Pelodiscus sinensis: one gene and its partner. The protein of the gene in region 1 purifies or fractionates together with the protein of each later gene. This does not show direct contact. Links are inferred from orthologs where the notes say so. Each region holds a gene or a part of one and is shown in the gene's direction. Other genes may lie near its edges. The genes, in order: BCAR1 and BCAR3.

Region 1 (3,914 bases):
ACTCACACAGTCCCATGTCACACATACAAGCGTCCCGTGTCACACACACACACACACCCCTGTGTTATACACTCGCAGTCCTGTGTCTCACACACACACACACACAGCCTCGTGTCACACACATCCGCATGAACACACACATATAATCCCATGTCACACATGCAATCACACACACAGAGCCCCATCTCATACACTCACACACACACAGCCCCATGTCTCAAATACACACTCACAGAGTCCCATGTCACACACGCAGTCTCGTGTCACACACACATACAGACAGGCAGTCCCATGCCACATACACACAAACGCAGCTCCATGTCACACACACACACACATACACATGCACGCAGTCCTGTGTCACACACATGCGCGCACACACAGCCCCGTGTCACACACTCACACGTGCACATGCAGCCCTGTGTCACACACACACACAGTCCCGTTTCACACACTCATGCACATGCAGCCCCATGTCACACACACGTGCACACACAGTCCTGTGTCACACACACGCGTGCACACACAGTCCCGTGTCACACTCACACACTCACATGCAACCCTGTGTCACACACTCACACATGCAGTCCCGTGTCACACAACCACAGGCGCATAAGCAGCCCAATGTCACACACTCACACATGCAGCCTCGTGTCACACACTCACGCGCACACGCAGCCCCGTGTCACACACTCACAGGCGCACGCGCAGCCCCGTGTCACACACTCACACACTTAGCCCCATGTCACACACACAGGCGCACATGCAGCCCCGTGTCACACACTCACACACGCAGCCCCGTGTCACACACACACACACGCAGCCCCGTGTCACACACTCAGGCGCACACGCAGCCCCGTGTCACACACACACACACACAGCCCCGTGTCACACACTCACACACGCAGCCCCGTGTCACACACTCAGGCGCACACGCAGTCCCGTGTCACACACTCTCACACGCAGCCCCGTGTCACACACTCAGGCGCACACGCAGCCCCGTGTCACACGCGCAGGGCGCCCCCTGCTGCCGGCGGGCGGGCGTGCGGAGGGCGGCGCTGGGGGCGGGCTCGCTGCCCAGCCCAGCCCAGGCGGCGCGGCGGCCAGTCGGCCGGGGGAGCGCTGGGGTGCGGAGCTGCCGAGCCGCGCCGAGCCGGGCCGCGCCGCCTGGGCCCGCGGCGGGGCCGCCGGGGAAGATGAACTACCTGGTGAGTGCCCCCCCCCCCCCCCCCGCCCGCCGCGGCCCGGCCCATCCCCGCCGCCTCCTGGCGCCGGCCCCGGCCCATCCCCGCCGCCTCCTGCCGGGCAGCCGGGCCCCGCTGGCAGCTCCGGGCCGCCCCGCGGGACAATGCGGAGCCGCGGCCGCGCCGAGCGCCCTGCCCCGCACGACGTGGCACGGAGCGGGCGGCCCCCGGCGCCGGATCGGGCCCCGCAGCGGGCCCGGGGAGGGTCATTCGCCGGCCCAGAGCCCGGCCGCGCCGGGGGCCTGCGCTGGGGGTGGAGCCGGGGCTGGGGCCGGGCGTGAGGCTCGGTGCGCGGCGAAGCGGCTTTGTCCTTTGCGGGAGAGCGCGACGGACCCCCCTCCCCCCCCGTGATGAGTTGGTTGGGTCTCAGGCCGGGCCCCTAGCTGCTCAGTCCCCCCCCCCCCCCCCCGACCCCTGTGTTGAATTGGTTGGGTCTCAGGCCGGGCCCCTAGCTGCTCAGTCCCCCCCGACCCCTGTGTTGAATTGGTTGGGTCTCAGGCTGGGCCCCTAGCTGCTCAGTCCCCCCCCCCCCCCGTGTTGAATTGGTTGGGTCTCAGGCTGGGCCCCTAGCTGCTCAGTCCCCCCCCCCCCCCGTGTTGAATTGGTTAGGTCTCAGGCTGGGCCCCTAGCTGCTCAGTCCCCCCCCCCCCCCGTGTTGAATTGGTTGGGTCTCAGGCTGGGCCCCTAGCTGCTCAGTCCCCCCCCCCCCCCGTGTTGAATTGGTTGGGTCTCAGGCTGGGCTCCTAGCTGCTCAGTCGTCCCCCCCCCCCCCCGTGTTGAATTGGTTGGGTCTCAGGCTGGGCCCCTAGCTGCTCAGTCCCCCCCCCCCCCGTGTTGAATTGGTTAGGTCTCAGGCTGGGCTCCTAGCTGCTCAGTCCCCCCCGACCCCTGTGTTGAATTGGTTGGGTCTCAGGCTGGGCCCCTAGCTGCTCAGTCCCCCCCCCCCCCCCGTGTTGAATTGGTTAGGTCTCAGGCTGGGCTCCTAGCTGCTCAGTCCCCCCCGACCCCTGTGTTGAATTGGTTGGGTCTCAGGCTGGTCTCCTAGCTGCTCAGTCGTCCCCCCCCCCCCCCCCCGTGATGAGTTGGTTGGGTCTCAGGCCGGGCCCCTAGTTGCTCAGTCCCCCCCCCGCCCCCCGTGATGCGTTGGTTGGGTCTCAGGCCGGGCCCCTAGCTGCTCAACCCCCCCCCCCCCCCCCCCCCCCCCCCCGTGATGAGTTAGGTCTCGGGCCAGGCCCTGGTGCTCGCTGGACTGGTGGCCCAGACCCGGCCGTAGGCTCCGTGCCCCGGTGCCAGGGCGGGCATGCACTGTCCTTCCCCGCTGCCGGAGCCGTCTCATGCCAGCAGCGGGCGCAGGTCCTGGCTGGCCCGAGGGGTGCCTGGGATGGGGGCCCCGCCCGGGGACTGGGTTCCCAGCCAGGGGCCTGTCCCAGCGGGCAGCCTGGCTGCGACCTGGGCATATGTCCTGAGCATTTGTTCCCCCCTAGGATCCCCTCCCCCAGCATGGGCCGCTGCCCTGCCCCGGCCCCTAGCGCCTGCCAGCCCCGGCTCTCGGGGCTCTGAACCAGGGCCTGGTGGCCAAGATGGCCCAGAGGTTCCCCGGACACTCGGCCCCTTCATCCCCCCGAGGGCAGGCAGGGCCGACTCTGGCTCAGGTTGGGCCCGGGGCTCGCAGAGGAAGTGACCTGCCTGGAAGTCGTGTGGCACATCCGGCCGAGCACCGGACTTCCCCGCCCTGCTCTCCCCACTGGCCGGCGCTCCCTCCCTGACTCGGCCCCATGGGACAGGGGCAGTGCCCCCTGCTCCCACCCAGCTGGCGCCTTCCTGGGTCACCCCCCGGCAGGGCCTGCACCCTGCGATTGAGCCAGGGTGCTCTGGCACTTGGCACCAGCCCATGACAGCCAGGAGGGGGTGTCACCAGGCACTGCCCCCTTGCTGGCCCCGGGGGCAAGGGAGGAGGCCCACAGCGCCCTGACCCACACTGGGCCCTAGGCTGCCTCTCCCCTCCCCCCCGGCTGTGTGGGTGCCTGGAACCAGGCTGTCCAAGCTGGGGGTCTGGCAACATTTGACCATCGGGAGCTGGGTCTGTGCTGGGCAGGGGGCCCCGAAGCCTGTTGGGGGGGCCGGATTCCCCCCCCCCCGTGAGATTTGCCACTGGCAATAGAAGGGGGGAGGGAGCCGTTGCTGGAGGAGGCCACGTGGTGCCAGGGGCCGGCGGGGGGGGAACTGGCACAGCCGGTGGCTAGTGGCAGAGCGTAAGTGCCCTGCCCGCCTGCGTCAGCGACGGCGTTAATGATTCACCCGGCAATCAGCCTTCGGCCTGGCGCAGGGCCCCGCGGGGGAGGGGAGCGACTCCTGTCATGCTACAGCAGAGCGGGGGCAGGGACCCCCCCCCCCCCCCCCCCCGCAGCACTTGGAACCCTTGAGAGGAGACGCCCCCTTCGGCCAGGGCCTGCCCCCTGGCTGGGGCCGACCAGGGCTGGGGGGGATCTTCCCAGGTGGCGGGGGTCACAGACCCCTTTGGCAGTGCCCACGGCGGGGGGGTGTCTCTGCGCTGTGGGAGCTGGTGACGGCTTAGCTGGCTGGTTCCCCTGCTGTGTTCGGGGTTCTCTGTCCAACCCCCTTTGCCGCAGATTTGCCCCGGTGAGCGGAAAGGTGGGGGGGGATGGGGCG
Region 2 (3,914 bases), on another chromosome or scaffold:
TGGCCGCTTGATTTTGCGCAAAAGCACTGACGTTCTACTGTCCGAAATCAGTGCTTCTTGCACAAATGCTTTGACGTTCCCACTCGAGCAAAAGCCCTTTTCCAGAAATGTTTTTGCGCAAGAGGGCCAGTGTAGACAGCTAAAAACTGTTTTGCGCAAAAAAGCCCCAATGGCAAAAATGGCGATCGGGGCTTTCTTGCACAAAACCGCGTCTAGATTGGTATGGATGCTTTTCTGCAAAAAGTGCTTTTGCAGAAAAGCATCTGTGCCAATCTAGACGCTCTTTTCCACAAATGCTTTTAACAGAAAAACTTTTCCGTTAAAAGCATTTGCGGAAAATCATGCCAGACTAGACGTAGCCTTTGTATTCTCCATTGGCTGTTGTGGGATTGTTTGTCTGTTTAGTGGATGTGTTAATGAAGGAACGTGTGATAAATTACAGGTGTTTCTTGTGTGCTCTTCTGGTCTCTGATTCTAATGCTGTTGATGGTAATCTTCCTGATGCTGTTGCTGCTCAGGAGACCAAATCCTTACCGAGCACCAAATCCTTACCGAGCCATCTGAGAGATTAATCAGTATTCCACTCCAGCAGTTAATTGTAGATGGGCCCAGTAGTGTGCTCTCAGATCTTGCAAAGGGAGACCAAAACAGAGTCCCAGACACAGAAAGACAGAAACTGGTGAAAAAAGTGATCTGGGAGGTCTTGTTGACAGAGGACTCAAATTCAAAGCCAGCCAAAATCCTGTCGGAGCCAAAGGAGTAGCTTCTATCTCCTAGTTATGAGATATTCTGTAACTGAGTGACCAGGTTGTCTGTGTATCTCTGACACACACCACGGGATCATATTCATTCTTTGTCCCCGGCAAACTACACAGTCCAGTTCACTGCCTACACATTCATATACACATTACAGTCCCATTTACTCTTGCCTTCCTCTCATATATTTTATCGCTCAATTTAGTCAGCATGAAAGACAAACTAAGGCACAGTGGCTGGACAAAGATATTGAGCAATGTTTTCCATGAACACAAGGACTGTGCATTTTTTGCTGATTATATTATTATATTGTTGGCCTGTATGTCTTAGAAGGCTAAAAGAAACTGAGCTTTTGTTATGCCCTGTTTCATCAAGATTACAAATAAAACTAACAAATTACACGTAGATGTATGAGAAGATCTTCAGATGGCATAAATTATCATAGTTCCATTCATTCACTTTAATTTACATCAGCTGAGGCTCTGTCCTTCAATCTTAATTGAACATAACCAACCTTAATACATAATTAACAGTAGCTCCAAAACAATGACTAAATCATTCCTTATACCTTTGGAGTCAATGAGGATTACATCAGAGGAGATCATTTGCTACAAAAGTGGCTGTTTTAAGTGCTCTGTTGGAATTCTACTGATGCTCAGCATTAGCTATTTTTGTTCGTTTTGTTCTGCAGTGTCAAAGGCATTGTGAAGTGAGGAGAGTAACAGATTATGAAGCATCTATCCATTTCTAACTGGCTAACACAGCTGGGCCTCCCAGAATATTGCATGCTCTTTGATGAACAATATGATGATGTAGAGGTAAGAAACTCTTTTTTTTTTTTTCAGGAAAATCCCCATGGAAGTGTCAAGTGGTTCAGTGAGCTTGATACAATTAGTCTCAAACCAGACAGGTTTCCAGTTAGAAAATGAGAACTTTGAAGCTTTATCCTAACAGAGAAATCTCATGAGACTAGCAGAGCTCTGGTGGAGAGTTGAATAAGTAAGTGTTGTCTAAGTAACACTTTCTTTACCTTTATTCATTGGATTTATAGAAGCTTTAAAAGCCCAAAAGCTAGTGATGGAAAAGGCTTTTTTACTTATTGAGTCTAATCCCAAATTCAAGGTAGAGTTCCCCAACTGATGTTATTTTAACTGAAAGCCCAGTTGTCTATTGTCCACAAATGCAGAACTTCTCTGTTTTAATATTCTTGATAAATATTACTTTGTTCACTTGTACATTTCCAGACATAAGCTGTTTTTCAGCATAGGTTGAATATCTCTTATCCAGCACCCTCAGGACCTGACTGGTGCCGAACCAGAGAATTTGCTGGATCATGGGAGGTCAATATTGTCTAGCAGCAATACCAACACTTCCACTGCTTACTGGATTTTTAGAAGACATTTAGGGGTAAATTAGAGCTAAATGACAGCACAGAACACTTAGAGCCAGGACTGGTGGCTGTAAACAAACTTTATGGGAGCACAGAAAAGTTGATCACACCCATGATAAATGGACTTCCAGCTAACTAAAATCATGCAGGACCATGGATGCTGCCAGACTAGAGAGTACTGGATTAGAGAGGTTCAACCTGTTCTTCTGCTTGGAGCAAGACAGGACCGTTCAGGAGAATGTATAACTTTACATAAATACACTCAGGGGAGCCAACAGATATACCAGGGCCTTGGGCAAGGTGAGGGGGCCGGCTCTGCATCCCCAGAAGGGGCCGGGCCTCAGGTGGAATGGCTGGGTGAGGCCAGAGGTAGTGAGCATGCCACAGCAGGCTCCCTCTCCCACCCCCCAGCTCTCAGTGCTGCTTGGAGCATGGCACAGCCCTTAGAGCCACTGGGCACACACCATGCGGTGCTCTACCTACTATTTAAAGGGTCTGGGGTTAAAACTGCCACAGTGGCAGTTGCCCCCTTTGCCCCCCCCCCCCCTTTTGGCAGGCCTGAATACACAGATCGCATGTCAGGATCAATATAAGGTCTGAACATGTTTGTGGTGTAATTCTTTGTGCCTACCCTTTGTTGTTAAAATATCTTGTATATAATTATGAAAGCAGAGCTTTTGACAATGTGACTAGTACTGAAAGACAAAATGAGCAGGGATTTCATGTTTTCATAATGGATTAAGGAAAGATAAAACTATATTTTAAATTTAAGTAACATTACTGTGGACATGTGAACATTAGGGTCTGATTCTGCAGGCAGCTACTCTTAAGAGTAATACTTATTACCAGGAGTAGCTCTATTAACTATTGCCTGTGGAACTACGCCAGGGTATGTCGACACTACCCCGCTAGTTCGAACAAGCGGGGTAATGTTTGCATACCGCACTTGCTAATGAAGCCCGGGATTTGAATTTCCCGGGCTTCATTAGCATAAGCGGGGAGCCGCCATTTTTAAATCCCCGCTGCTTCGAACCCCGTGCAGCGCGGCTACACGGGGCTCGAACTAGGTAGTTCGGACTAGGGTGCCTATTCCGAACTACCGGTACACCTCATTTCACGAGGAGTAACGGTAGTTCGGAATAGGAACCTAGTCCGAACTACCTAGTTCGAGCCCCGTGTAGCTGCGCTGCACGGGGTTCGAAGCATCGGGGATTTAAAAATGGCGGCTCCCCGCTTATGCTAATGAAGCCTGGGAAATTCAAATCCCGGGCTTCATTAGCAAGTGCGGTATGCCTACATTACCCTGCTAGTTCAAACTAGCGGGGTAGTGTAGACATACCCCCAGGTAGTAAGCAATATACTTAGTTGTAATTACTTGTCTGACTGAGCCTGAAGCATAGGAAACTGAAGTGTGATGCTCTCCCTTTATCTAAGGCAATCATGAAAAGACAAGAAAAAACCCACACCTTTTGCAATTTGTTATACTAAAATGTATCAAGAAATACTGCCACTTTGCTAGCATGCAAGATAAGACAAGTCGTTTATTATTTGTAGTGCCACTTGTTCAGCATTAGCTCTAATGGACACATTTACTAAAGTGAGATCAAGTAGATAACTTTGATTCATGTTCCTGTGGGTGCTTCATTGTAGGTGTCGGGTCATCCCAGCACTACAGAGCAGAGGTCTTTCCAGCAGTAGTCAGTCTACACATGTGACATAGCTGTCTCATGGCGCTTGCACCTTAATGTATCACATGAGCGGCCTGATC

What was found.
Region 2: the proteins of BCAR1 (region 1) and BCAR3 purify together in Homo sapiens (co-immunoprecipitation; 4 studies listed by BioGRID and IntAct, counting the BioPlex papers as one, with this or other methods). This does not show direct contact. The link is inferred for Pelodiscus sinensis from reciprocal best matches to the Homo sapiens genes BCAR1 and BCAR3.

What each region holds. Positions count from the first base shown.
Region 1 is NC_134722.1:47,962,727-47,966,640, forward strand, and holds the start of BCAR1 (breast cancer anti-estrogen resistance protein 1), read left to right. Parts: upstream 1-1,048; 5' UTR 1,049-1,196; coding exon 1,197-1,208; intron 1,209-3,914. UniProt on the Homo sapiens protein: Docking protein which plays a central coordinating role for tyrosine kinase-based signaling related to cell adhesion. Implicated in induction of cell migration and cell branching. Involved in the BCAR3-mediated inhibition of TGFB signaling.
Region 2 is NC_134719.1:35,202,227-35,206,140, reverse strand, and holds the start of BCAR3 (breast cancer anti-estrogen resistance protein 3), read left to right. Parts: upstream 1-1,434; 5' UTR 1,435-1,484; coding exon 1,485-1,574; intron 1,575-3,914. UniProt on the Homo sapiens protein: Acts as an adapter protein downstream of several growth factor receptors to promote cell proliferation, migration, and redistribution of actin fibers.